Linked DNA regions of Caenorhabditis elegans. The protein of the gene in region 3 purifies or fractionates together with the protein of the main gene of each other region. This does not show direct contact. Each region holds a gene or a part of one and is shown on either strand. Other genes may lie near its edges. The genes, in order: mip-1, mip-2, meg-3 and pptr-1.

Region 1 (4,559 bases), on a different chromosome or scaffold from region 3:
AAAATCGATCATCCAAAAGATGCCATCCCCGCTAGAGGTTACAATGGAAGTTCAAGAAGAAGAAGAAGAAGAAGCGGAGGAGGAACGGCCTGCATCAAGAAGCACTCGCTCTGCATCTGTCAAAAATACAACTGTTGACCCATCGTCATCTGCACTTGCTTCTACCAAACGTACAACTTCTAGAAAGAGGGGCAATTCGGAAACGATCGACTTTAATCAGGACGACAAATCGGCACCGACGACGCCAAAAAGAGGAAGACCCGCCAAAAAGGATGCAGGATCTCCTAAAGTTGGAAGTAAAGCTGTAAGCATTTTTAATTATTTTTTTGAATTAAAAATGTTGTATTCATAAATTGTAAATTGATTTGTTTTCGTTTCAGCGTGGCACCAAGCCTAAATCGATATTCGAAAATCAAGAAGATGAAGAAGATCGTTCATCCTCTCCAGATATCGAACAACCAGCCACACCTACACGGTCTTCCAAACGAACGGCTAGATCCAGAGCAAATTCCGAATCGATCGATGATGATAGCAAGCAGAAGACCCCAAAAAAGAAAAATGCCGCGGTTAATGAAGCTGGTACCAGTAAACAGTCTAGAAGTGTGACGGTATGATCCCAAAACATAATTTTTTTTCAAAATTATTATTTTCAGAGATCTCGAGCATCATCTATTGATGTACAACAAGAGGTGGAAGAGCCAACCACTCCAAAACGCGGAAGAGGAAGACCGCCCAAAACCGTTCTGGAAAATATTGAAGAGGGTGAAGAAGAGAGAAAAGAAACGGCTGCGGTAATATTTTCAGCAATACGATTTCTCAAACGAGGTGTTTTATTTTCAGACTCCTCTACTGCGTTCAGCTCGCCGTGCTAAACAATAGAGGTCGAACACAGCTCAAATTTTAACTATTTGTCCTTATTTATTTTATTATTTGAAATTCTTCAACTGACACATGTGAAATAAGTTCCAATAAAATTGTTTGGCATTAACATTGAATTGGAAATAAAGCAATAAAGGTGCATAGAACGGAGAGTTCAGGATGGCGTTATAGTTTTTAAATTTCAAGCAACAAATTCGATAATTTAATTTTAACTGGAAAATGTGAACGATTGTTCCTAGCATGCGAAACAGGTGTTTATACCACATTTAAAAAATTTCCAAAACGAAGCTCTGCAGAATTTTTTCTAATTTCTCGTGGTAATGATGAATTATTATTTAATTTTGTTTTTTAATGCACCAATAAAACGTTTTTTCGTGTAGAAAAAAGACGGCATTGTTAAATATATTCTTCACTGCAAAAATCCAATTTTATAAAAACTAATTTAAATCTTTCGAAAGGTTACTGTAACAGTCATTTGCGTGTGCATTTCTACGCAATATGTGGCGCCAAAAGGCTTGTCCTAAAATTCGGCTACCCATTCTAAATAAAATGATTCTTCGCAGTTGTTCTCTGTTAACAGCTTGTTTTTTTTATGTTTTGATGATATTTTCATGTTAAAATAATAATTTTAACGTTGTTCATAGACGTTAGCATGTAAGGACGATCTTGACGTATTGTAAACATCTGTAAAATTAGTTATCCGTGCATCAGACTGGGTCTGAGTCTTTTTTACAATTTACTGTAACATTTTTGTATCTTTTTCACGTTAATACTTGATCAAATTGTAAAATGTTCTCTCAGAAGTGACATTCACTTGGCAAATGACGGAAGCTGACGATCCCAAGAAGAAAATACGCGCGCGCATCGAGCGCGACGTGTACAGTGTTCTGCTATCATTCCAGGAAGGAGCGACCCCAAATCAAGTAGAAAGGAGAATGGAGTTTGTGTTTCGCGGCATTATTTCTCAAATTTAATGTATTAACTATTTAGCGACACGCTTGGCTACACATATGTTGGAAAATATGTACAGGCTGGTGTGAGAGATATGGCTCAACTTCTGCGAGAGCACAAAGATGTACGACAAAATTTATCCGGAGTTTTCAGTGTTGTGTGAGAAATATATATTGCTCTTATTCGAGTCAAAACTCAATACATTCGTTTTCAGCGCAAATGAGGACAATCAAGACCTAATCAATCTGATCTCAAAGCAGAAGAAAAAAAAGAAAGGTGGAAAAGGTGCAAAGCCCATTCGTGCAGCTACGTCTATGGGATTCCATAATAAAAGTGGATTCGGATATGCAGCTCACTTGCGCTCACCGAAACCCTCATTTATGTATCCAGCTTCATCTGCCAGAGCGAACCCGGCAAAGGTTCAAATTGAAAAAAAAAAACTATGTTCAAGATTAACATAATAATATTGCAGCCACAAGCAACTGGGTATCGCAATACCGTTCGACACCCACCTGTCCGCCCTTCCACTGCAACTGGTCACTCTAGTTTCGCAAATAGATCAGCTTATTCACATCATACAACGAGAAGCACCACTGTTGGTCCGGTCAAAATTGCTCCTAGTGCGACTGCTCAGCGTCCTCTTTTACGTCAACCTGTAACCGTTGTTCAAAGACTGTCGTCTACAGTGGCTGTTCCAGTTTTGCAACCCGGGATTGACTCGAAGTGTATGCCTTCGATCGTTGATTTTTCGAACAACGTTAAGCGCATGATGCTTCTGGAATATCCTGCTGATGTCCATGTAAATTTTTTTCAACATTTGCAAATTGCAACTGATTTTTCATATTACAGCTCTCTGAATTGACCGAAATCTACGATAAGCATTTCGATGTATCAATTGATCCACTCCAGTTGTTTAGCAAGAGCTGGATGATGTTCGTGAAGACTTCATTCAAAGAATGGCTGCAACTCGGAACAGACGGTCGAGTTGAAGTGAAGGAACCCTGGTTCACAAATTTTGGAGCTGCGTTAAAGAAATCAATGCCACCTGCTCCTGAAAAGAAGAAACCAACGACACTGCATGAGCCCACTTCAAGTGTCGCATCATCGAGCTTACCGATTTCACAAGGATTTCGGTATCAAATACCAGTTGTTCGTCCGATAGTGTCTGTCGCAGAAAGTATGAAAGGTATTTACATTTGAAAATAATTAGTAGATTGTAATATTTTATTTTAGGACTCACAGTGAGTGCCCGTAGCGTAATGGGAACTCCAAAAGATCTTCCTGGTGTGTCTAACCCGATTAAAAACACAGCTCGGGGAAGTAATAAGCCTCGAAATGGTAAATCCAGAAGTTTCCATTAAAAAAAACTAATAATTTTTATTCATCAGATCTGGCATCTTCGAAAGCGAGTAAGGATCTTGTTGTTCCTGTGATGAAAACTACGTGTATCAAATCACTTGAAGATACTTCTACCAGTAGTTCGAATCCTTCAACATTGCAATTATCTACTGCCTCTACCTCTGCAACAGATCAGAAACTGCCAAAAATGAGCTTTGGAAGACAGATAGAAAAAGGATCGTCGATTCCAGGGAGACATATATCTCTTGCTCTCACGGAAATTAAAAACCAAAAAGTTATTGTGAGTAATTTTCTTGCTAGATTCCATTAATTATAATATACCAAGTGCGGTATCGTTCCGTTTTCGGATCAAGACTAGCTTTTTGTTGTTTTATTGCTAAAATACTGCAATTTTTATGTTCATTAAAACAAAAACAATATTTTTAACTATGCTAGAAAATACCATGCCGACTGTGATGAATAAGCTAAATGAATTTCAGGCGGCTTCTATTGTTGGAAAGAGTGCCAAAACTTCTACAAAAGTGCCATCCACGACTAGAAGTGTAGTTCTCCCACCAATGTCAAAAGGACCAGGATTGGCACGTTCTCGTAACTTTTCACCACAACAATCGACTACATCTTCAATTGATAATGAGTGTCTAGAAGCTATCAATGCTGCGTTGCCGTCGGATAAGGATAGTTGGTGATCGAAATTTTACGTGCTTTAAAATATCCTGTTTATGTGTTTTTGTAAAATTATTTTTTAATTAGTTTTAATAGTAACATTGTTTTTTTTATATTTTGGATGCGAGTCATTCACGAATTTTACTATAAATTTTTTTTCCGGTGCATTCTATTCTTGTTTCGCATAATTAAGAAAAATGTGTTCTGAAACATGAAAAAATATTTGTTAGCTTAAATAGCGTGACCCCTTTAGATGCAAAATTGTAGAGTAGCTGTGAGAGCTCTTCCGACGGGCCACTCAAATAATTGAAAGCGAAATGCAGTTTCTCTTTTTCTCTTCCCCAATGCATTCAGTTTCCTATTTCTCTGCCATGTCAAGATTGGCATCAAACGATGTTCGAATATGGGGGAAAACTGGGGCGGTCGGCTTGTGCACACAGACAGACCCATAAAACATGAATTTATTATTCTACGCGCACGCAAAACGTGGCACTATAGAGACTAAGAAACTGCAGGAAATTCGTTTTGAAGATGAGATAACATCAACGAACGGTGTAAAACATAGAGACAAAAAGTGCTCTGGATAACGACGCGCTATATAAGATTGACCCTTAAGGGTAAAAGAATTCTTATCCAAAAATGTTCTCCAATATTGATTTTTAAGAGAATATTATATTTCTATGCTGTCTAGTGAATAGTTTTTCAAT
Region 2 (5,125 bases), on a different chromosome or scaffold from region 3:
ATATGAAACTTTCTTTTCAGCCGATGGCAACGACGACGACGAGTGGTAAAATCTACGCGACGTCGTCATTATTATTTGATCTCGAGAGATCTTTTGTTTAATAGAAACATTTCGAGACATCGCTTCACACCATTCTATCGTATTTTCGTAATTATCAATTCTGGCATGATCAATCAGTCAATTGAACATGGTGATTTATGTGATGTCTCGAAAATTTTCAAATTCACGACACCGCATTCTTTTATTTGTTTTGTAAATCTTCTGTTAAGTATTGTTTCCGATCCCGATATTTACTTACTCGTATTCCGTATTCCACCGTATCCCCGTACCTTATTTTGACTATCTATTTCTTTATGAATTTTGTATTCAGTACCTATTAAATACAGTTCTGAATTTTTTAACGGGGAATTTTGTTTAAAATAAATCTCAATGTTGGAAATGTAATTGTTTCAACTAGGGAGTACAAGAACAGCGTTATAAGTATTTAGAAGGAAGTATTCTTGAGAAAAATAATTTATTTTGGACGTTAAAGCGGAAAGTCAATTCTACATGATAATAAACCAAGGGACTTATTCTCCATTTAATTGTGAATAGAGAAAACGATACATTTAAAAATTTTTAAAAAGATTGTCGGCACTAGTATTTAGTGTGATAAAAACGAAAATAGCGAAAATGGTTCAAAATTCAGATATAAATACTAACGAAAAATATTCAAAAAAAACATAAATATTATAAAATACGTGTCAGGAGCACTGCTTCAACTACGCCTGGGAGATGTTCGGCGAGAAATCGGAGTTCAGCGACGGTGGAAACGAGGACGCTGACGAATGGCATAATACAACACGAGAACGAGGCCGTATTTTCACACCCGCTCCTTTTGACATTGGTGGCAGCAAGACGGTAAACGGTTTGGGTGGACTCTTCTGAAAATTTAATATATTAACAAGAGTTTTCTTCTTATATACTTTACCTCGACTTTCTGAACGACTTGAGCACCCCAGCCATCATCTGAAACATTGCTGGCTGCATGCGAAGAAGAGCCCATGCCGAGACGAGGTGAAGGTGAAGGTTCTGGCTGCTCATTGAAAGCTTCTTGCTCTACCTATAACAATATAAGTAAAATGAGAGAGGACAACAATTTATACCTGTTCTCGTTGTCTCCTAACTTCAGCGAGAGCCTGTCCAAGGGTTCTAACTGGAACCACTTTCTTGACACATTGATTAGGATTTACCCTGACACGTTGAAGGTTGATTGATGAACTTGGGCGCTGCACTTGAGCAACAACATTTAAGCTGGCACGGCTTGCCATATTTCTTTGGACTTCAAGATTTTGTTGCATCAGAGCTTTCGCACGTGCATCAATCATTTGTGGAAAAGCTTTCAGCGATGCATAAACATTGACTAACATGACATCAGTCTTCTTCAAAGCTTTGAGTTGCAGAAGCTCTTTTGAATCGTATTTCAGGCCTTCTTCGTTCAGCTTTTCCGGGACAACGGTTGAAGAAGAGGAAATTGAAAGGACTGATGGAACTGATTGTCGACCGAAGATACAAGAAGTGCTCTGCACTCTTTCAACGATAGAATCAGCTTTCACGGAGCTTGGAGCGTTGCCGAATCTCTTTGTGACAATTTCTCGGTGATTTTTTGGAATAAATGGCATCATGTCACTTTTGCTTGCTTCCTTTTTGCTCTTTCTGGCATTCAAAGTAAGACCTGAAAATATTCTTTGTTAAAATATAAGGAATTTTAATAACTCACCGTCCAGAGACTTAGAGATTGAAGCCAGGTCAGCTTTCGGCTTTGAGTTAGGATCCTGGTATCTAAACCCTTGTGATATTGGTAGCTGAGCAACAGTTGTAGCTTCAACTTTGCGAGAAGGCAACTCAAGCACCGATTTGGTTGTTGTTCCTTGATCAGCTAGCCACTTTTCCCTCAACGAAACTTCTCCATCAATAACTTGTAGAAACTCTTTGAATGTTGTCTTGGCCATAAGCATCCAGCTTTTGCTGAACAACAATAGTGGATCTACGGGTGCACCGAATTCCCTCTCATAGAGTTCTGTCATCTCGGAGAGCTGAAATTAAATACTTATACGAGAGTACAACTAAACTTTTAACTTACGTGAACAGAAGCTGGAAGCTCCTTCACCATCATACGCTTCGTATTATTCATGAACTCCGTGATGGTTGGCATATGAGACGAGCTTGAAGATGTTTTAATTTGCACATGCTTCTTGACAGGTGATCGACTTCCACTACGAAGAATGAAGATTGGAATCGAAGACGCAGTTGATGGGCGCATGAGAGGGCGCTGAATGGATGGAGCTACAGGCGGATTTGTTGGATTCGCATTTGAGCCACTCGACTTTCCAAACGTAGAATCATGATTTCCTGTTCCGAAGGATTGGATTGCCGAGGAAGTGGATGCTTTAGATGACGACAACACCGAGAAAGGACGAGAAGGTTGCCCGAAGTTTTGGAATAACTGAAAAATTCTCTTGACATTTAAATCTTTCTATACATCTTTTAGAACCTTTTTAGACGCTGCTTTTCCAAAGGAAGCATACGAACGAGGGCGACAACTGGAATATCGTGGCGATCTCGACAGCTCTCCTCCAAACATAGATCGTTGATGATATCCAGCAGAAGATGACGAACGTCTTCCTCTTTTTGAAGAACCTTTATTCCTAGGTCCGTCGCTCTGCTTCGAGATCAAATCCACAAGATCCTGATTGTCCTCGTTTGCGCTAAAATATTAGTTTTGACAGGTTAGAAACGCGAACGATAAATCGGAACGTACATGATCTTGAATTTTCCCTCGTAAGTTTGCCGTACATCCGGATGCTCGATCAGAATTTGAGCCATGTCGTAAACACCAGCCAAGTGATATTTCGAGCAGTAGTCATATCCTAATGTGTCGCTGAAAATTACAGTAAATTTAAATTCACACCACTCGGATCAACTAACTCCATTCTTTGCTCGACCTGCTTCGGTGAGGCTCCATCTTTGAAAGAAAGAAGAACACTATAAGCGTCCCGTTCGATGCGCTTACGCATTTTGTTCATTTTTTCTTTGCCTTCTTCTTCAGACATTTTTCAGGCAAATGCTGGAAACAGTAAAACAATCAGTTGAATGACTTTAAATATTCAGAAAACGGAAATCTGAAATAACGAATACAAAAAAATGATTTAAAACTTAAAAATGTCAAAATCGTGGCAGAAGTTTCTAGAAGTGAACACGAAAACAATCCACGTACTGCGCACACCGTTCCACGCACAAATGCACATTCAGGTCTCTACCGTAGTTCAGTCCAATTCGCAGGCCTGGAAAAATTTCAAAATGCGAATACATGTTGGTTGTTGAAATTTTTTTGGATTCGACTTATAAATTAGCTTCAGTAAATATAAAACTACTTTTTAAGATATTATTTTATAGAAGGCTCATCATATTTCGTATTGTGACTGCAGTTCACCGGAAAAGTACAAAACAAATCACTCCAACCGGTATGCGTCCACTCTGATAATATTATTGAGTTTTGTGTTGGAAAATTGATCTTTCTATCAAAATTATGTAAATCTCTTCCTCTTGTTTCTTCAAACATTTGTGGTCTTCCAACGACACATCTATTTTGCGGCATTCTCTATTTCAGCTGTCAGTTGACATTTTATTAGCATCTATTATATAAAAGTTCTTAATTTTAACTGTACATGAACGTTTTTTAATAGAATCTATATAAATTTTCAGTCAAAAAATGCGAATAATCATTGAGACTTCTTGGGATGTGGTATATCTTTGTGGATACTTTTCATTAGTTGTCTACTTTCAATATGCCATTTTTACCACTATTATGTATACTTATATGACAAAAGTATGTGAATATATATTTTTCAAAATTTTATCGGAAAATCAATTTTTAAAATGTTTTAATTAAAATAAAGTAATTCAGTATGTGCCAGAAAAATAAATATGACCAAGCTTGCAAGAAATGGGCGGATCCTTTTTTGAAGCATTTTGTAATAAAAATGTTGATTCTTGATTCGAAACGGGCTAGACGATGTCATGAATTTGCAAGGTTTTAGAAAAATATGAATAAAATCGCAGTGAAATCTTCAAAAAGAACTAGTTTTAGAACTGCCAACTGCCAAATGAGTTATTTTTAACTTAAAAATAGTGACTTTGAAGCACTATCTCAGCAGAATGGTTTGGAGTCTAATTAGAGAGAACCCTGTCTAATCTTAATTTTCCCCAGTCTAAATAGATGAAAATCGAGTCAAATTTGAAACACGCGAAAAGCGAATCTAATTAGAAGCGGGACGAGTCAAATTAGATAAAAACCCTGTTCGATTTAGGTTCGATTAGTTCTGCTCCGCATTCCGATTAGCTTCGCTTTTCACATAATTAGACTCCAAACCATTTATCTGAGATTAAAGTTCTTTATTTCTATAAGTACATTTCAAAGTTCTATAAAAATCCTCACAATTTCAGCTCGACCCATCAGTTGGTCCTACGTCATTTGGTTTGGCAGTGACTCTTCATGGAATTGGTCATTGCCTTGGAGCACTCGCAGCAGCATGGTGGACTAAAAAACGGTATAAGGTAAATACATTAAATAGTTAAAAAACTTTTAAACAAATGTTCAGGGCAAAAAACCAATGTGTGTTGGATATCTTTTAATGTTACTTTCCAATTGTCTATTCCTCTTGGCTGATCATGTTCCAGCAGAAACTAGTGCATTCTACATTATGTTGTGTAGATTTTTAGGTGGTCTTGGAATGGGTAAGTCGTTATGATTGCTTTATTTCTAATTCAAATAGTCTCATAGCAGCTATTTTTGTATTTTTGTAACTATTTCAAAGATTTCAAACGTGGTTTTAATATTTCATTTAGCAAAATTCACACATCAAGCTTGGGTCGAATCAGAAAAAGTAAAGTGGTTCCACATTAGAAATGATAAATTGATATTCAAATTTAAAAAAAAGTATTGAACTCGCCGACTACTCCGAAAAGTAAATATATCTAGCTAATTCTCAAATTCTCTAGGAAATACGTCAACTTTACGTACAACCCTAACTGCTCATTCAATGTCCGATGATCGTGCAAAAGCAATGTCAGTATTTATTGGTGG
Region 3 (5,464 bases):
TTTTTTGTGTGAAGCATCTCTGAATCAAGAGCATTCTTTGAACTTTAAATTTTACTTGATAACTAATGAGTCCTCCGAGAAAAACATGAAAAACCCTGAAGCGTGCCTACTTGTCCGCCATCGTTGGTGCGTTTCCGAAACTTGTGAAGGCCTGTAGCAATGCGGACGGTGATATTTTCGAATTCAAAAATGGTATCTTATTTAGTTTTTCTCGGAGAACAAAACCTATATGATTATTTGTTTAATGTGTTTTTTGTTTTGGTTTTATGAAGCTTCAAAGTAGTGCGCATAATTATGGCCCACCCTGTATTAAAAAACGGAACTTTTCCAAACAAATCTGAAGCATCTGTTTTAAAATTGAATCCGTGACTACTATTTTGCCTAATGACAGTATTTAAATTTCACAAAAAAGATCTATGAGAAGATATGTATATTTTCAAATCAGTTACCAATCATCTTTTCTTAAATCTATTTCGAACTTTTCTTTTATTCTAGTTCCACTCCAAATCTTAAAGAATCGGCAATTCTTTATCAATCATCCAGACAACAATATAATACTACCCTCTACAAGTATCTGGGTAGACATAATACAAATTCACAAGGAGAAGCGAGTTGAAATATAACAAGAGTGGATAAAGGGTTAATGAACAAGAATAACATACAATATAGTCTACAAGTAATAGATATAAATTGGTACAATCATTGATCTCTGGGTGGGTCAAAAATAGATTCCAGCCAATCCCGTTTTACATTCAAGTATTTGATAGGATCCGATTTCCGAAGATGTGCAAGTAAACACGCATCAGCAATTGCGATGATATTCTTCTGTCCGATACACTCCTTCCACAACATGTAGAGCATATTGGTGGAGTCTGTGGAGCTGCTCGTATCGTCCAGCCGAGCCTGAACAAACGTGGCAGCAATCTCTTGCATAACTGCAAGCTGGTGAGGATTTCCTAAGCAGGCTTCAGCAAAACGGAGGAACCATTTTCTGAACATATTTCGCACAGGTGGAACTCTTGGATCTGAAAAAATTAAAGTTTTCAAGATTAAATATGTCTTATCTTTCTTACCATCGGCATAAGGACCATCCAATCTTGGAATTGTCTCGGTGCAAAAATAATTCAAGTACAGCCATCTTTCAGGTGACATCCCGTGAATATTCAAATTCACTTTCAGGAGTTGTGTCTTTTCTTTGTAGTTAGTATCAATGTAGTCGTTAAAGTCTTGCTGAGCTTCCAGGAATGCTGTCAAGCTTTCAGAAATGCGAGGTGGTGGCGAGGTTGAAGCTGGATCTTGAGTGCAATCTTGAGAAGGATATTCGATCCGATCGGCTGATTCACAAGGAAGTGGAGCCGGATCACTGAAAGAAATTTACTGTACTCAGAAAATAATTTTACAGGATTTGAATCAAGTTTTGAGCTCAATCTTTTCAGCTTGTACATTATTTTCCATATGCTTGATCGATAGCGGATTTATTAACTTGGACCTTACCTGGTGATTTCGAAGGGCCATTTCCCAGCTTGATTGTATACTTCAGCTGCACGAATTTCACAATTGATTCCACTTCTCTTCGGAGTTGGGCAACCATTACAATCCGTGGAAACTGGAATTCCGGTAATGTAAGAGCTGGAAAAGAAAATATGGAAATGTTGTTCGTTTTTTGTAAAGTCATACCTTTCCAGCGCCACAACCTTTGGAGTCAACTTTTGAGCAATTCGCTTTCCTGAAGCTGTTTCTTTTCCAGAAACTGTGACGGAATACATTGGTGATTTTGTAGCTTTAGAATCAACCACGCCAAGTGACTTGTTCAACTTTGAAGACCTGTAAAAAATATAATGAAATAAGAAGCTCCAAGTGTAAAACTAACTTGCTGGATGATGTCAGACATCTTTCTCCGATCAAAGCCTTTGGAGTTGGGATGATTGACGAGGAAGGTGTTCTCTTTACATCCACATTGTTCCGATTGATCTGATCCTTGCTGAAATTTAAATTTTTACTAAAGATTTTACTATTTCACTACATACCTTGAGGAAGCACGATTTGCAGATTTCGGCATCTCAGGGTCCCCATGAAGTAAACGTCTCATTTCCTCAACGTTGGCATCAAAAGTTCCTGTCCACTTTCTTCTTGAGATCTTTGGAGGAGAACTCGGCTGTGGACTTGGCGTGGGTTCCTCGTCTTCTTCAACAGTTTCCAGTGTCACATCAAGACTGGCCAGACGGGAGGCACTACGAGAACTTCCACGGCGCTTGATCGACAGTGAAGTTTTCTTGGGAAGACTCACTGGTAGGGTTTGGTTGTTAGCATCCACAAAACTGGAGTCAAAGTCTTCACCAATTGAGCAATTTAGATCACTTGCTGGTAATGTCCGATTCAAATTGCTGCATTCTCCATGAGAGCTGGAAGGCAAGTGAATCTGTTGTCCGATCTTCATGCTGACAATTTCCAATAACTGTTCAATGGAGAGTTCAGTGCCGTCCTTGCTGAATACATTGGATACCAGGTTACGTTTAGCCGCTTCTTCAGAAGATTTGCATTTTTCAGTCAATTGTTTACTGCCTGCATTCTGCTTTGAATAAGTCGATTGTTGAAGTTTCTTAGTGACTGATCGAGATCTCCGACCACGGGCAGCATCCATGGAATCGTCTATGAACACATCGTCAGTTAATTCATCGTCATTTGTGTTGAAGTAAGTACGATCCTGGAAGTTGCTGCTACCACGTGATTTTTTTCTGTCGTTTCTTGATTTCTGTTGTTGATTTTTCATCGATGAGGTTTCATGTGTAGGAAATCCAGAGAAGCTCTGGTTCAAATTCCGCGACTTAATAGCATCGTGCTTTTGGACAAGACTAGAATTGATAACCTCCTTTCCAGATGCATTTTTATTGTCCTTATGGCCTTTTTTAAAAGCGTGTCCATGAACTCCAGCTTGAGCGTTGAAGCTTTTATTTCCAAGACATTGCTGGTGAACATTGGTTTGTCGCAGTTTCTTAGAATTATTTTCTTGCTTCTGGAACCCAACGGGAACGGAACTCACACTGAATGACTTATTCCCAGCGTGACCATAATTGTTCGAACCATCCGAGAAGCTTAGGCCATGTTGTCCATTCTGACGACTTCTACTACGTCTTGTGTTTGATTGCTGAACGTCGTCCTGATCTGTGGATACTGGGAATCTTCGTTCATACCAGCTGGAGCTATTGCGTGTTTGCAAGTTGCGGCGGAAGTCTGCAGAGAAGACGGGGGCCGTAGGAGGAATACTGTTAAAGGCGTTGCTGCCGTTTCCTTGAGCTGCATGCATCGACTGATTGAATACTCGACCATGTCGAGTCATCGAGTGATTCAGCTGTTGGCCATTCATGAATGTATTCCCGTTGAATGATACGGATCCGTGATGAGATATCCCCGATTTTGCACCATATTCACGGCTTGTTGACTGAGCACTGTCTTGTTTTGCGATCGGATTGAACAATTCGTCAAGAGTGATTTGGTGTTCCATGTTGTTGGATGCACTTTCCTGATTGCTACGACTACTTGAGCGGCGACCTGAATTTACAAATTGAATGAAAAATTGATGCAAAAAACTCTCACCTCCTCTTTTTCTTCTCGAGTTTGGCAGACCGCTTGGGTAAGGTTTTGAGGAACTCATACCTGCAAAAATCAAAACTTAATGAAATATTGAAATAAATGAAATTTAAAAAAATACAACGAAAAAGAAAGACAGAGATGAAAAAATGCAAACCGGTGGGACCACGCAACAAGAATGAACACTTGAGTTAGGGAGATTGAGAGAGTGTGAGAGGTAGAGAAAGAGCGCGCGGAAATAGTGTGTGGCGAGACGGACAGGGGCGATGCGTGCGCGCGGTGAAAAAATAGTTCAAATGCGGCAGGGAATCAACAAAACAACACACACCGTTTGCATGGTATCGATCAGTTTTCAAGACTATCCAAGACTATGGAGTTTTGAGGAACAATTGGATTGATAGTTAATTCTCTAAAATATTGGATAATCACTGAATAATAAATGAGAAGAATAAATTTATAAAAAGAAACAGGATAATAGGCAGTAAAGGAGATGTTAATTAGAAAACCTGTAAGCGAAAAATCAAAACTAAAATAATTTTTTATCTCAAACTTTTTAAAAGAAACGGCGGAACATAATCCTGAATTCCTGAAAACGAGATGTAAAGGGTCGTTAAAATAGCTCCAAAAACGGATTTGTGCAGAGTTTTGAAATTTTTTAAAATTATTTTAATATAGGAATACTAAGTACCTGGAAAGTAATAAAAACTGCTTTATATAGAACATTGAAATCTTTTGTTTTTTAACATAAATTTTAAAAAATGTTTGGATATCCCAAACTAATAAGGATTCTTAACATTATTAATTCATAAAAATATGAAAAAATGTCTATTCAAAGGATTTTTTTTGATCGAAGACTTCTAAAAAGTTACAAAAACTGAGAATCTTCAAGTAGAAATTTGGTATTCCTTGGGACTTCAGATTATTCATATTTTATTTTTCAAATTATTCTCGATGGTTTTTTAATTTAAAAAACAACTCATCGACATTGATGCTTTCAAACAGGATAGATCTAATGTTACTAATTTCCTGCTACTATAGCTACTGCTACATTGTGCACAATGTATGATGTCACACACTTGGAGGATTTATAACCACTTTCTATGTATCGATTATACCATTTAGACGCTCGCCTGCTCCGTTAGTCTGCTCAGTGTTTTTTTTTTTCGATTACATATTTGAGTTACCATTTGGTATGAGCTCCTTTATTTCACAACTCTCCTCATTTATTTGTCTGAGATTTTTTAAACGTCGAGGTATCAGGACCCCGTCAAACAAGGCAAGAACATATGTATTTTACAGTTTTTCGTTTAATTTTATTGATTTTTTAGATTCAACCCTTTCACCTACTTGGTTTACCGTATCCTGCATTTCGGAATATTATACATCAATTGAAGTTGACTGAAGTGTGAGTTGAAGTAGGTTTTAATTATCTAAATGTCTATTGTTTTCAGAATAGAACTATCAAAAAATTCTGGTGAAACCAGATGTAGATTTAAAAAAAATTAATCGAAAAATCTACAAACTTCTTATCGACAACCGTGTTTTCCATGTTGATCTACCACCATTCCGAAATCCTAGTGATTTATTTTCAAGCAAAGTGATTGCTATAGAGACTTCAGAAGACATGTATTATCCTTTTAAGTCTGGTAAACTACTGACTTTAAGATATCCAAACCTTTTTTCAATCAGCATTACCAACTTTTGCATCTCTACGTTTTGGTAATTTTTTGATTTTTCTGCTAGTTTTTTCTCAAACATGTGTGATTTGTTTAGTCTGAATGACCTTAAACATTTGAAAACTTTCAAAAAGTTTTTACCTAACCATGTTTTAACATTTCACGGTAGTTCAAAAATTTTAGACCGGAGGGGTTGCTCA
Region 4 (4,862 bases), on a different chromosome or scaffold from region 3:
AATCAATTATTTCTCGGCTAATTTTTTGTGTAATTTCTTCCATTTTTTAGATATCAGTGCTACTATAAACTTTGCTTTCGCGGCGAGACCCATCCCACTAAGCCTCTGCGCCTTTAGGTAAAAGTTTCAGAAGTTTGCGTTTTAATTAAGCTTTTTCTATTCATCTGAAAGTTGTGCAAATTCTCACTTTTTCTCCCCGTATTTACTTCCACCCCCATAAACTGCCCCTCCTCTTCATTTTCTTCACGTCTCCGTCGTCTCCAGTGGCCTGTGATGGCCTGTGTGCGTATATTATTCCTTTACTTCTCTCTCTCTCTCTCTCGGTCTCCCACACTCTCCGGCCTTTCCGTGTGCAAATGCGTGCGCGAGTGCGCACGACGTGTCTGCGTCTCTCGACGTCTTCTCAGTGTCTGCATCACTGTGCACTCCGGAATGCACACGAACTCTGCTCGCGCCGCTCACAAACGGCGCTCATCGGGTGAGAGATTGTCTTTTTTCTCTCGATCAACTAACTCTCTCTGTGGCTGGGCAGAGTGAGAGAAGACAACAAAACGTTGACGTTTATACCTCGTGTGAGAGCGAGAGTTTTTTGTCTCTTTTTTTCAACTTTTTCACTGAATTTATTAAGCGATTTGGAACATTGTTCGTGTTTTTTGTAGGGAATAAAATATAATTTATGCGCGAACTGCGTAGGTCATGCGCATGAAAAATTAAAGGATTTTGCTTTTTTAGACTCAAAATGCGCTCAAATAAACGAATTTTGTAATGAGACTACTCTTAAATTTCCCGAAATTTTTTATGGAGGCTTCTTTTTTTTAATTCAGACCTCGAAGTTCAAAATTTCGAAAAAACTTGATAATTTTTAAAAATTAGACAAAATTTTCGATTTTTCCAAAAATTTATATGTCGTAGCGGTAGGAAATTAAAATTTTTTCCGACACGAAAAATTGGCAAAGCTAGTTTTCCAGCTGGATTTTAGATAAAAATGCCCAGTTTTATCGATATTTTCAACCGCCATAGGTAAAATTAAACGAAATTCGTTTATTTTGGCACATTTTTACACCAGCAAAAACTGTCACTCCTCTCTCAAAATTTATCAATTTTCCCCGCGGTTATCGCTAAAAGTGAGCAAACCAGCAAGAAATACAGAATTTTCGGTTGTTTTATTTTTTTTTAATTTTTAAAGCAGTTTTTACGCTGAAAACTCTGAAACTTCAACTAAATTTCGACGAAATTCAGTTTTTCCATCTAAAAAAACAAATAAAAAACAAATTCGCAAGCGTGCTCCATTGATAAATTTGCGGAGCGGGAATTTGAATCTAGTTTTTCTTGTTAAATGGTTTTTTTAATCAATTTTGTGATAGTTCTCAAAATTTCACTTTTTCTGTGTATTGGCCCCATTGCCCATTGCTTTGTTCATTTAATGAAGGCATTTTTGCAAATTTTTACCACAAGGAAGCTTTAAAAACTAGAAAAAACGCGGCAAACCACCGATCAGTAAGTGCGCTCCAATGTAAATCGGAGATTTTCTCGTTTTTTAATTTGTTTTTTACGTTAAATCGATGTTTTGTCTACAATTTGAGCGTTTTTCCTGCGTTTTTTTCGGTTAAAAATTGAATAAAATTAAATAAAACCCATTTCAATACATTTTATTCCCGAATCTGATCACTTGTCGACCTACATTGCCATTTACTTTCACTCTCTTCTTATCATAATTTCGATAACCACTGCCTATCTCTTTTACACCATTCCGCGTTAATAAAAACCCTCTCTCTCTCACTCTCTCGCAATAAAAAATCAATATATATATATATACATTTTGCAGAAGCGCCCAGAAATCTCTCTCTCGCCGTCTGCTTCTCTGCTCCCTCCTACACGAAGTTTCAACACTTCGCTCGAACACAACCAGGGCGAGAAGACGTTGAAGAAGATAAATTCTTTTAATCAAAAAAAAAAATGCACGGAAGCGGGCACAGTCTAACGGGCGCTCCGCATCAAATTCCGCCGCCACGGACACAGGGAGCCGCCACCGGTGGCCAACAACTCTCGGCGACAGCTAATCAATTTGTTGATAAAATCGATCCGTTCCATAATAAAAGAGGAACTTCTAGACGATTGTGAGTGGCTGGTTTAATTTATTTTTATCGATTTTTCCCGATATTTTCAGGCGCATCAACAACAGCAGCCGATATAATGTTGATTCGGCTCAAGAACTCGTACAATTGGCGCTCATCAAAGGTGATTTTTTTGGATTTTCTAGATGAAAAACCGAAAAAATTTCGAAGAATTGAGTAAAAAATAGCGAAAAACTCGCATTTTGCCACCCTGCCGCAGATTTTGGCAGTTTTCAGTCGATTCCAGGCAAATATTCAGGGAAAATGTCCAAAAATGCTAATTTTAGTGAAAAAATGTTGAAAAATGCTCGATTGGCCTGAAAATTAGGATAATTTTCGTTGAAAAGTTGGAAAATAGCCTACAATTGTCGGAAATTGTCCCAAAAGTGTGAATTTCGACTTTTATACAAAATTTGTGATTCTTTTTAAAGTTTTTAACGAAAACTTACACTATTTTCAAGTAAATCAACTTTTTTATGTTGTATTTTTACATTATTTCGTGAAAATTTACCTACATCGACGGGAAAACGCGTTAGAAATCGCGAAAATCTTCAAAATAAAGGAATATTTCGATGAAAATCGATTTTCGGTCGCTGCAAATTCGTAAAAATGGAGTTTTTAGTCTTTTTTTTAAAAGATTTTTTGACAAATCGGATAATTTTGAACCCAAAACTAAGAAAATTTGGTCTTTTTGAGCCAAATTTTGAACTAAAATTCTGAAAAACGCCGTCTGAAATCTCTAAAATCTGCAAAAATTGCCGATTTCAAATTTAGCCTTTTTTCAGAATATTTGAGCCGAAATTGTCGGTTTTTTTTTGAGCCGAAATTGTCGGGTTTTTCAGTGAAAATTTGCCGAAAATCCCTGCTAAAACCCCGAAAAAAGGCCTAAATCATCAATTTTTTAAAAGAAATTCAATTGCTGCTGCAAAATTTGAGATTTTCGCCATTTTTATCGAAATTTGAATTTATTTTGAGCCTTTTAAATCAATTTTACCGCTAAAAATCTTTAAAAACTTCAATTTTTCCAGATACTGCTGCAAATGAGCAACCGGCTCTCGTTATCGAAAAGCTCGTCCAATGTCAGCACGTATTCGATTTCTATGATCCAGTAGCTCAACTGAAATGCAAAGAAATCAAAAGAGCAGCTCTAAATGAGCTCATCGATCACATTACATCGACAAAAGGAGCAATTGTTGAGACAATTTATCCGGCTGTCATTAAAATGGTTGCCAAGAATATATTCCGTGTACTTCCACCATCAGAAAATTGTGAATTTGATCCAGAAGAGGATGAACCGACTTTAGAAGTCTCGTGGCCACATTTACAGGTTGGAAATGCAAGAAAAACCCGAAAATGGCTCCAGGAAGCCGAAAAATGACAAAAAAAAATCGAAAAAAAAATGCAATTTTCAGAAAAATAGAGCAAAAAGTGCATTTTTCACTAATTTTTGGTCCAAAAAATTGACTTTTTCGACTGGAAAATTATTAGTTTTCCTTTTGGCAAAAAAAAACCCCGATACATCCTGAAAACATCGAAAATCTGAAAATTATAGCAGAAAACCGCGTTTTTTTGCTCCAATATACCAAAAATAGCCCCAGTGCATCAAAAAATATTGACAAAATGACCTAAAAACTCTGATTTTCTCAACTTTTCCGTGTTACAGATGGCATTTGGCCACTTTTTGGACCGAGAAAGGCATCGAAAGACGGAATTTTATAACAAAATTCATTAAAAATCGCTCAACAGCTCATAAAATGACATTTTCAGCTGAAATCTCAAATTTTGCCAACTTTCCCGGTGTCACAACGGTCGGAAATTAAAAAATTGGCGATTTAGGCTGAAATTCGACCATTTTTCGGAATTTTCAGCAATTTTTGATTATTTTTATTACAAAAGACCCCTATTTAAAAAAATCAATTTTTGCTCTATTATACCCAAAATGGCTCCGGGCCATCAAAAAATGCTGAAAATTCGTCGAATGTCAGCCTAAATCGCCAATTTCTCAATTTCCGACCGCTGTGAAACCTGGAAAGTTGGCAAAATTTGAAATTTCAGCTGAAAATATGTAATTTTTCGAGATTTTGAGCGGTTTTTAATGAATTTTGTTATGAAATTCCGTCTTCTATGGCCAAATTTCACCTGAAACTCAGAAAAGTCGACAAAATTTGAGTTTTTAGGCCATTTTCTGGCCAAATTGGGAGCTAAAAGATGCTTAAAATCATCAGAAATCTGCAAAAATTCACTGAAAATTGGAAAAACTGCCCTAAAATCAAAAAAAAAAAAACGAATTTTGCAGCTTGTCTACGAGCTCTTCCTGAGATTCCTTGAGTCGCCAGATTTCCAAGCTTCAATCGGTAAAAAGTATATTGATCAGAGATTTGTGCTCAAGCTGCTCGATTTATTCGATTCGGAGGATCCACGTGAACGAGACTTTTTGAAGACGGTTCTTCATCGTATTTACGGAAAATTTTTGGGCCTTCGGGCTTTTATTCGCAAACATATCAATAATATGTTTTTGAGGTGAATACTGGATTTTTTTTTTCGCTGAAAAATCGCTAAAAAATGGCTTAAAAATGAGAAAATTGCAACGAAAAGCTCAATTTTCGGCAAAAATTCATGGATTTGGACCATTTTTGCAATTTTTGATATTAAAATTGTCATATTTGTGGTGTTTTGGGTGAAAATTTGTGATTTTTCTTTGAAAAATACCGAAAACTTGTGAAAAGTTATGTAAAATAGCGTTTTTTG

Evidence for each region.
Region 1: the proteins of meg-3 (region 3) and mip-1 purify together in Caenorhabditis elegans (affinity purification with western blotting; one study listed by BioGRID). This does not show direct contact.
Region 2: the proteins of meg-3 (region 3) and mip-2 purify together in Caenorhabditis elegans (affinity purification with western blotting; one study listed by BioGRID). This does not show direct contact.
Region 4: the proteins of meg-3 (region 3) and pptr-1 purify together in Caenorhabditis elegans (affinity purification with western blotting; 2 studies listed by BioGRID, with this or other methods). This does not show direct contact.

What each region holds. Positions count from the first base shown.
Region 1 is NC_003281.10:4,791,406-4,795,964, forward strand, and holds mip-1 (HTH OST-type domain-containing protein), read left to right. Parts: upstream 1-1,680; 5' UTR 1,681-1,700; coding exon 1,701-1,819; intron 1,820-1,869; coding exon 1,870-1,989; intron 1,990-2,044; coding exon 2,045-2,249; intron 2,250-2,302; coding exon 2,303-2,629; intron 2,630-2,679; coding exon 2,680-3,016; intron 3,017-3,063; coding exon 3,064-3,168; intron 3,169-3,218; coding exon 3,219-3,469; intron 3,470-3,668; coding exon 3,669-3,875; 3' UTR 3,876-4,018; downstream 4,019-4,559. Other genes in the region: Protein mel-28, read left to right, coding at 1-304, 381-608, 654-791, 841-879.
Region 2 is NC_003283.11:13,668,851-13,673,975, forward strand, and holds mip-2 (HTH OST-type domain-containing protein), read right to left. Parts: upstream 3,109-5,125; 5' UTR 3,093-3,108; coding exon 2,968-3,092; exon of another isoform or gene 2,964-2,967; intron 2,921-2,963; coding exon 2,801-2,920; intron 2,748-2,800; coding exon 2,534-2,747; intron 2,486-2,533; coding exon 2,123-2,485; intron 2,076-2,122; coding exon 1,760-2,075; intron 1,715-1,759; coding exon 1,146-1,714; intron 1,103-1,145; coding exon 971-1,102; intron 924-970; coding exon 762-923; 3' UTR 503-761; downstream 1-502. Other genes in the region: DEAD-box ATP-dependent RNA helicase rde-12, read left to right, coding at 21-49; F58G11.4 (MFS domain-containing protein), read left to right, coding at 3,752-3,868, 4,486-4,596, 4,641-4,776, 5,041-5,125.
Region 3 is NC_003284.9:1,985,954-1,991,417, forward strand, and holds meg-3 (uncharacterized protein), read right to left. Parts: upstream 3,655-5,464; 5' UTR 3,653-3,654; coding exon 3,595-3,652; intron 3,550-3,594; coding exon 2,028-3,549; intron 1,982-2,027; coding exon 1,871-1,981; intron 1,825-1,870; coding exon 1,678-1,824; intron 1,630-1,677; coding exon 1,495-1,629; intron 1,364-1,494; coding exon 1,074-1,363; intron 1,026-1,073; coding exon 700-1,025; 3' UTR 516-699; downstream 1-515. Other genes in the region: Y40A1A.2 (F-box domain-containing protein), read left to right, coding at 4,781-4,864, 4,917-4,993, 5,040-5,094.
Region 4 is NC_003283.11:16,355,696-16,360,557, forward strand, and holds the start of pptr-1 (Serine/threonine-protein phosphatase 2A regulatory subunit pptr-1), read left to right. Parts: upstream 1-1,825; 5' UTR 1,826-1,956; coding exon 1,957-2,117; intron 2,118-2,167; coding exon 2,168-2,238; intron 2,239-3,142; coding exon 3,143-3,441; intron 3,442-4,410; coding exon 4,411-4,634; intron 4,635-4,862. UniProt on the Caenorhabditis elegans protein: Probable regulatory subunit of serine/threonine-protein phosphatase let-92 which negatively regulates the insulin receptor signaling cascade composed of daf-2, age-1, akt-1, akt-2 and sgk-1 by promoting the dephosphorylation of akt-1 on 'Thr-350'.